Linked DNA regions of Chlamydomonas reinhardtii. The protein of the gene in region 2 binds, or shares a complex with, the protein of the main gene of each other region. Links are inferred from orthologs where the notes say so. Each region holds a gene or a part of one and is shown on either strand. Other genes may lie near its edges.

Region 1 (4,172 bases), on a different chromosome or scaffold from region 2:
GCATCGATATGCTCCGCCGCCACTGCCGCCCCCCCCCTGCCGCAGCGCGCACCTTATCCACCAGCGCCTGCAGGAGGTTCAGGTGGTGGTACAGCAGGTCCTGGCCTTTGGATTGGCCCAGGCCCAGCTTGCGCAGGATACGCGCCACCTTGGCCTTGATGGTGCCCACGTACAGGTCGATGAGGCGGTTGGACATGCCGCACACTTTGCTGCATTTGGCCTGAAGGGCAGACGGCGCAAGAGCAATTGATGTCAGTTCGTGGTGCATGTGGGCGGCGCCAGGCACAGGGAAGGCCACCAAAGGCAATGCAGGTTGAGTGTGCTACGATATTACCTTGATGCGGTTTACTTGCTCGTCTCCTTGCATGCCGGTGGCTTCATCCTGCGTGCGGGTGTGACCAGACCGGTCAGCACGAGTCGCGTCCCGAAGCACATGCCAGCAATCCGGTGCTCACCCCTGAAATCTTAGCTGCCTTATGCAGCTGGTTGATCAGATCCACAATGTCGCGCGCAGTGAAGAACCTGCGTCGATCGCATTCGCCAGGGCGGGCATGCTGTTGGAGGGGACCGTGGAAATGGCCAAGCCTGCCCAGCATGTGTGTGACATGCTCAAGTCCACGCCTGGGCGTCAAATGAGCAAGAGGCAACCCAGAGCCCCCTCACCTAGCAACATCATACTCATTGGGCTTCACTTGCAGCGAACAGACACTTCCTCTCCCGGGTGAGTGCATTCCCGGTGACGGCCATTCCAACAGCCGCGGCGAAGACGTGGTCGATGCAGCCCTAATACCTGTACAAATGAACAAAAGCTAAGGGTTGGATTGTGTGCCCGCACTGGGAAGCGACCTCGCAGGAGAGTGTAGCGCACACACTTGCCTGAAGCATCCTCCTCTGGCTCGGGAGAGGGCTTTGCGGGGCTTGTGAATGCCGCTGGAGAGTAAATGCCTGCCATGTCGCGTGTCGTCCGCAACCGTGTCGGTGCGGTTGAACACAAATGCAGAAATGGCGCTAGCAATACATCCGCGCTGCAGCCAGATATGGTATATCTGGATGAGCTGTGGTCATTTCAAAGCCTCGTTAGCGGCCACAGCGTGAGAAAACGCGAGTGAAGGCGCTTCAGACGATTGCTTGACTCTGCGAAGGTTGCTGTCGTTGATTTTGCGCAGTCAATCAGTTGGATGTCAGAGCGTTTGTATCGGTGTGTATGTACAGAATGTGAAATACAGTAGACAACAGGTTCTCCGGACGGTGACAACACTCCAGTCATCAGGGCCTGCCCCCATCTGAGCTTCTTCGCGCCTGGCAATTGCAGCACAAGCGCCAACCGCCCTTGTTCTCGTGTTGCACCACTACGTCTCCTTTACAGTTCCTTGCAATATCCATGTAGCCTGCCCACCTTCAACGTGCCAAGGCCCTCGCGCGAACTTCTCCCGACCTCGCTCGCTTTGCGCTTTGCTACTTCTTGTCCCCGGTACCTTGAAATTTATCACAACATTGTACATTAAGTTACTCGTAGCCAGCCAACATGCCGCCCCCGGGCAACGCGCCGACTGCACCAGCCGTGCCGGGCGCGTTGCCCGCCTCCACAGAGCAAGTGTTGAACGGGCTCGCCGAGGCGCCGCTGGTGGTTCCCCCGCAGCTGGTGCAGTACTACATGCGCAAGAGCGGTCAGGGGCCAATCCTGTACAACATGAGCGCGGACGACCGGGAGGCAAATGAGGACATGCGTTTGTGAGTGTGTGCAGGGGTGGCGGCACCTGCAGCACGGTTCCCAGCGGATCTCACCTCGTCATGAGCGCCGGCATTCGCCACCAGTTGCCAGTCCTTGAAGCGCGTCTGTTACCGCCATGCACGTGCCGTTCGCTCACAGGACCCAGGTCGTGAGCCTTGCATCCCAGCGCTTCCTGGCCACTGTGCTCAATGACGCCATGCAGTGAGTCCCTTGCCTGGACATGCCGCTCGGCACCGCACCAGCCATGATTTGCGGGTCACGGTATGATGTGGATGCGCTTTGTGCTGGGTGTGGAGTCGCTCAGTGAGGTCCGGGGCCGCCGGGTGGAGCGGCCCGGAGTACATAGGGCACGGAGAAGGAAGCCTGCGGCGGTTGCTGGCACGCCCCCAAGTCTATCGCTAGTTGTATGTAAACAAATGGTTTGCAAATGCGGGCGGCTGCACGGAGCACGCCCCTGTTACCGCACACGGCAGCGCACGGCATGGCGCTTTGGGGCCTGAGCCTTCCGCCCAACACGGCTATACACACACACACACACACACACACACACACATGCATCTGATGCATGTTCCTGTGTGTGATAAGGAGCACAAGTAAAGCATTACGCGTGCATGTTCTGTGTGTGTGTGTGTGTGTCTGGTAGGTACCACAAGATGAAGCGGGGCGCGGGTCCCAAGGCCATGAAGGAGGCGGGGCTGGACCCCAAGGACAAGCGCCGCGTGCTGCGGACTGAAGACCTGGCGGCGGCGCTGCAGCAGGAGGTGCGCGCCGGAGGGCTACAGGGTGGTGCGCATGGGTAGAGCGCCGGGGAGGGGTGCGTAATGAGTGGATGGTTGGGCTGCGGCGGCGGCGGCTCTGCGCCGCGCTGGTCCAGCCGATGCATACACACGCACAACGGCACAAGTGTTGTGCCCGGCACGGTGGCTTGTGCGCGCGGGGTGCTTCTCTGCACGCTTCATAACGCTGCACCGCCTGCTGGCCGGCGTCGGTGTGACAATGCCCCTGCTGCGTGCCCCTGCTCGCCGGCGCAGTACGGTGTAAACATCCGCAACCCGCCCTACTATGTGGATGCGCGGGACAAGGACCAGGCAGCGGCCGGGAGGCGGTAGCTGGTGGCCACGGCCCATGTGAGGGGCACATGCATGGACTGACAGCCTCGGTGGTGCGCGCGTCGCGGTGCTGGAAGGGGCTGAGCGGCGCACTAGGGGCTAGCTGCCATTGGTACGGGCGTGTGCGTCCGTCGGTATGGACGTGTGAAGTGTCCGGGTTGAAGGCACATGCATCAGGGATTGGTAAGCAGCTAGCGTCATGGATGGACAGCTTCATTGTGGATGAGTGCGGTGAACTCGGCAGCACGAAGAGACGAGGCGTAGATGATGCTGCGTGCAGGTGAGGTTGCGTGCCTTGGGTGTCAGGCATTTGGCCCCTTGTTCGCGAAGTGCATGGCCTTCCGCGGGGTGAGGGGGGGAGATATAGCTTACTATGATGTTGATAATGATGTGGCCCCTGCTAGCTAACAGAGGTGAGTAAAAGTGCAGAGGGCACGATTGCATGGGCTTTTGACTATTTAGGCTGACTGACACGACCAATCACTTATCGTAACTGCTGTCAACCAACGCGTCTAGGTATTTCGTGCACCTTGCGCTGGCACATTATGCAGTACCGTTGAAGCAATTAAAAGCAAGCACCCGCTAGCTGGCGTTACAGCTGTGTCGTTGCACTGCTGCATGCTGTTCAAATGACTCCAAAATAGCGGGATGGAAGGGCTGCGCACGGCAGGAGAAGGAGGGTGGGCTCATGCTTCCCCTTACAATTTCAGTCCATCCATCAAAGCCGCAGCCCGCAGGCGTGAACGGCGCCCACATTGCGCATTCGTTTACTTGAAGCGTCATCGATAATTGCATCGAGGCGCCTTCATTCTGCGCAATCACTTATTGCTTGGGGCCCAAGGAACAGACGACGACAGTCACGGTACCTCACCTGTCCACCCCTCCCCACTACCCCGCCCTTGCCGTACAAGTGAACGTGCCCCTTGCAAACTCTCTCCACTCCGCTGCAAGGGTAGCGCGTTAGACAAATCTATACACAGAATTTCGATCGACAACCCATCCGAGTCTGCACAATGGATCCCTGCCTCCTACTTTCAGTTAGTTGCAACGCTGTATGTATGCCCTGCCGGTGCTTGCCACCAGCCCACCGGGGATCATATGATGCATCAACTCAAACAAGGCAAAGCGCAGTATCCAATTCTATGCACCTTGCAGCGCGCGTACAGGAGCAGGTCTGCTCTTGTTGGTATGCAAGCACTGGCACCATTACTTGGTGCACGCCAAATTCTCCAGTACGGCAGGTACCAGTTTCGTTAAATTTACTGATGAAGTCAAGTGGCCACAGCCATTTATAAAGCTCTGGTTAGCGCGACCAGCAGGTATTTACACCT
Region 2 (4,432 bases):
TGCCCCGCCACCAACACATCGCGCCGCTCCCCTGCCGCAAGCACCCAAAACGCTCCAACCCCGCCTCCCGCAGACAGTACCCCGTTCACCGGAACATGCGCCTGCCGCTGGGCGGCCCGCCGCGGCGTGTGTGTGGCAGCTTACCCAGGCCGCCTAGCTGCTGGTAGGCTCGGTGCACGTGGCGCGGCAGCAGCGGCCCGGTGTGTCCCTCCTGGGAGGCGCACACACGCGCTGCAGGAGGGGGGGGGGTTACATGCATTAAGTTTACGAAGTGAAGTCGTAGACAGGGACAGGAGGGGGGGGGCGGCGAGAGCGGGGCACGACGGTTGGGTTGGGTCGGGCGCAGTGCCCGGGTTACAAGGACACACGGTATGCTGTGCGCATGGCGTCTCAAGCGCGCGCGGCAGTAAAATGAACACGCAGGGCCCTGACAAGGCGGCCCGCGGCCCATGCACCCCCGCCCTTGGCAACCCCCGCTCTCGGCGCAATGCAACGGGTCTCGGCCTGCTTGGCGACCATGCAAGCCCTTGTGGCTCCGACGCCCTGTCCCCACGCCACGCCACGCCACGCCACGCCACGCCACGCCACGCCACGCCACGCCACGCCACGCCACGCCTCGCCAGCACCAAGCTGCCACAACCCGGCCCCCGCACCCCGCGCCGCGCGCCCTCACCCATCTCCACCAGCTCGCCCAGGAACAGCTTGCTGATGCCGCACATGGCGATGATGGCTCGCTCGTTGGGCACGGCGTTGCGCAGGATGGCCGTCATCAACTGCGTGAGCGTGGCGGGGGTCGGTTCGAGTGGGATAGGGGTTTGGTTCGAGTGTGATAGGGGTTTGGTTCGAGTGTGGTAGGGGTCAGGCATAGTGGGGCGGGGCGTCGTGTGTTGTGTTGTGTTGTGTGGTGTGGTGTTGTGTGGTGTGGTGTGGTGGGGTGTGGCGTGGCGTGGCGTGGTAGGTTCGAGAACGTGGGTTGCAAAGGTGTGCTGGAGCACTGTGCAGCAGTGCCCCAAAGGCTGTCGAGGTGCATGCGTGCACCGCACGCAGGGTGTGCCGCCGTGTGCGCCGCCCCCAACAGGCCCAGCGCTCCCACAGCTCCCGCACGCAGCCTCGGCCCCTACCTTCTTCATCTTGGGTTTGGGTATGGACGAGCGCATGAACGCCTCGAAGCGGCTCTTCTGCTGCTCCGTCAGGGAGTCAAACACCCTGCAGGACAGACGGGGGGGCAGTGGGTTGAGGCGCTGGCGAGGGCGCCCAACACAACGCATGAGACAAGCTCACAAGCTCACAAGCACGTGCACGCAGGCTGCACACCCTTCCCCTGTTGGTTGCGGTACAACCGGGAAGCACCCTGGCGCAGCAGCGCACGCACGCCGGTCAATCTCCCCGTCATAGCCTCGCGATCCTGTTCCCACCCGGTCCCCACCCCGTCCCCACCCGGCCCCCACCCTGCCCCCACCCGGTCCCCACCCGGGCCCCACCCGGCCCCCACCCTGCCCCCACCCGGGCCCCACTTTGGCCCCACCCCGGCCCCGTACCCCGGCCCCACAGCTCACTCCTTCTTGTAGGCTGCTGCCCGGTCAGGCGCCGCAGACGTCGGTGCTGCCGCCGCTGCCGCCTCCTCCGCCTGGCTTGGCCCGGCCGCTGCTGCGGGTTGCCCGCGGCCCCCCACGGCCCCCTGCCCGCCGTCCTTGAGAAGGCGGAACACCTGCAGAGGGCAGCGCGCACCACCAGTTAGCGACGATGCTAAACACTGCGAGACCGACAAAGCAGCGGCGGGGGTAGGCATGCATGGCCCGGGTTCCGCACTGTTGGCGGACGGAGCCAGGTGCCACTGGCCTTGACTACGGTGATAGCAGCAAGGCGGGGGCAGGGGGAGTGCTTGCGCCATCCCACAATAGCAGGGGGCCAGGATACATGCACAGGGTGCAGGGGATCAGGGGTCAGGGGGGCCAAGTGCTGACCTGCAGTGTGGAGTCGTCGTCGGGCTTGGTGGCGGGCTCGCCGCGTGCGGGCGCGTCCGTGTCGTCGTAGTCGTCCTCGTCCCTAGGGCGTGTGTGTGTGTGGGGAGTGTGTGTGTATGTGTGTGTGTGTACCCGTGTGTGTATGTGTGTGTGTGTGTGAGTGTGTGTGTGTGTGTGTGTGTGTGTGTGTGTGCGTGTGTGTATAAGTAAGTGTGTGTGTGTGAGTGAGTGAGTGAGTGAGTGTGTGTGTGTGTGTGTGTGTGTGTGTGTGTGTGTGTGTGTGTGTGTGAGTGAGTGAGTGAGTGTGTGTGTGTGTGTGTGTGTGTGTGTGTGTGTGTGTGTGTGTGTGTGTGTGTGTGTGTGTGTGTGTGTTTGCGGCGGGGCACCGCGGGCACGTGCGTTCTGGTCCGATAGTGGTGCCAGGGGGCTTGATGGAGGCACGTGAGCGACAGGTGGGCCGGCCGCACCGGGGCAACAGCAGCTGCAGGAATGGGCGTGGACACGCAAAGCAGCAACCTGGTGACCCCTAGAGGCCCCTGCCTGTGCCTCCCCACCCCTGTCCAGCTATCCCGTCTCACCCTGCCCAGGCTGCGCGCCCAGCCTGTGTAAACCCCCTGCACACATAACCTTCACCATCACAGCCACCCGTTGCCATGGCCTAAAGCCGGACTCACAAGCCTGGCCCTGCGCCCGCGGCCTCGCCGGCATCGCCAGCATCGCCCGCGCCCGCGCCATCGTCCGCGGTCGCTGGTGCCTCCTCAAACGCCTCCTCGAAGGCCGCTTCCAGTTCATCATCCAACTGCTCGTCTACGTCCATGTTGCTAGCTCAGCGGCTCGGAGAGCTTGAAGTTGTGTCAAGCAAACACAGTTTCTTGGGAATCAGAACTACGACTGGGCGCTTGTAGTTTTCTCTTTTTGCAGTTGAGGTCAAGCGCAAGTGATATTGTTCTGCGAGCCCGACAAACCGCTTTTTCTCAAATAATCAATTTCGGGTTTCCAACTTGAGCAGCGAAAGCGACGATGTATTGTAAGTTGAAACTTTACAAAAATTGTTTGTTTGGCACTGCAAAGGGAGGCCCATGGCCCATGTCGCCTGATTCTTCCCCATGCACGGACCCCCGGTGCCCACACGGCCACACGACGAGCCCAACAGCACACAGCGCCGCCGCGACATCGTGCTTGACCGGCAGTACCCCGCAGCGCTGCATTTGGTACACAGTGGCCCATTTGGCAATCCCGCTCACTTCGCCTCAACCCATTCTACCGTTATCACAACCTGCCGCCCTAGCTTCCCCAGACGTGAGCTGCCCATACGATACCTAGCTCCTTTGCTCACACAGTCACGCACGCCCCCTCCCCAGCCTCCCAACTACCTCCGACGCCATCGCCTGCTCACCACCCATCAAGCACTAAGAAAACTTTGCGCCCTCCAGCGCCGCCATGACCCAGCCCTCCATCATCTGCAGCGCCGCCGCCGGCTGGTCGTGCGGCACCATGTGACCGGCCCGATACACCACCACGTGCGTCAGCGGGCCGGCGGAGCGGCGCCAGCCAGCAGCCTGTGCGCAGCGACCAGCGGGTTGTAAAAGATTTGGATTGGAGCGTAGGGAAGCGGGTGGGGTTTGGAGGGAGTGGGCGGGGGAAGGGTACAGCGGGCACGGATGGGCACATGGGGTGGTGGTGGTGGGGAGGGGGGAGGGTCTGCCTCGCATCCGGATACTGTGTGGTGGCCCCGTGGATGTCCGAAGCGGAGACACGCGTCACCCACTCACCCACTTAACCACCCACCCACCCACCCACCCACCCACCCACCCAACCAACCCCCTCACCGGTTTCTGGCCGCGTGTGTCGGGGCTGATCCCGACCGCCGAGCGCGCCGCCGCACCGCCCGCAGCCGCGCCCTGCAGGTCTCGGCGCCCGTCGCCACCCTTGTCGTCATCGTGGTCGTCGTCGTCTGAGGCCAGGTACCAGAGGGAGCCCTGCGCCGTCTGCAGCTCCGCCTGCAGGGCAGGAAGGGTAAGCGGGAGGGGGGAGGGTGTAGATAGCAGCCCAAACTATAAACCAACCAAGGGGGAAAGGCAGGGTGTTGGTCGCTCGACACTTGGCCCCCCGGCTGTGACGCCGTGGTCGCCAACGGCGCGTCACTCCGCTGTTGGTTTAGCGCCGTCCCTTTCTCCAACATACGCCCGGTTAGCGCTTCCTCGACCACCCCACCGCCACCCTTGGCGTCTCATGTTCCTGACTGGGTTTGCTGTTGGTTTACCCTCCACCCCGCCAGGCTGCCACCAGTACCCATTAGCCATGACACCACCACCACTCAACCACCCCCACCACCATCAACCCACCACTAGGCCCCCTCCCCACACACACCTGGTGCTCCCACTCCAGCGCATCCGTCCAGGAGGTGACAGAGGCCACGCCGTCCAGAATGTCGTACTGACCCTGTGTGTGTGTGTGTGTGTGTGTGT

The links.
Region 1: CHLRE_01g011350v5 (region 2) and CHLRE_16g657000v5 share a complex: the UniProt entries of both Arabidopsis thaliana proteins name them as parts of the TFIID complex. The link is inferred for Chlamydomonas reinhardtii from reciprocal best matches to the Arabidopsis thaliana genes TAF11 and TAFII15.

The regions. Positions count from the first base shown.
Region 1 is NC_057019.1:2,037,145-2,041,316, forward strand, and holds CHLRE_16g657000v5 (uncharacterized protein), read left to right. Parts: upstream 1-1,329; 5' UTR 1,330-1,525; coding exon 1,526-1,731; intron 1,732-1,870; coding exon 1,871-1,933; intron 1,934-2,375; coding exon 2,376-2,493; intron 2,494-2,763; coding exon 2,764-2,841; 3' UTR 2,842-3,423; downstream 3,424-4,172. Other genes in the region: CHLRE_16g656950v5 (uncharacterized protein), read right to left, coding at 53-220, 335-382, 456-522, 664-790, 877-952; CHLRE_16g657050v5 (uncharacterized protein), read right to left, coding at 4,165-4,172. UniProt on the Arabidopsis thaliana protein: TAFs are components of the transcription factor IID (TFIID) complex that is essential for mediating regulation of RNA polymerase transcription.
Region 2 is NC_057004.1:2,098,521-2,102,952, reverse strand, and holds the start of CHLRE_01g011350v5 (uncharacterized protein), read right to left. Parts: upstream 2,938-4,432; 5' UTR 2,782-2,937; coding exon 2,639-2,781; intron 2,047-2,638; coding exon 1,965-2,046; intron 1,709-1,964; coding exon 1,557-1,708; intron 1,207-1,556; coding exon 1,122-1,206; intron 774-1,121; coding exon 674-773; intron 232-673; coding exon 86-231; 3' UTR 1-85. Other genes in the region: CHLRE_01g011300v5 (uncharacterized protein), read right to left, coding at 3,374-3,523, 3,794-3,964, 4,335-4,406. UniProt on the Arabidopsis thaliana protein: TAFs are components of the transcription factor IID (TFIID) complex that is essential for mediating regulation of RNA polymerase transcription.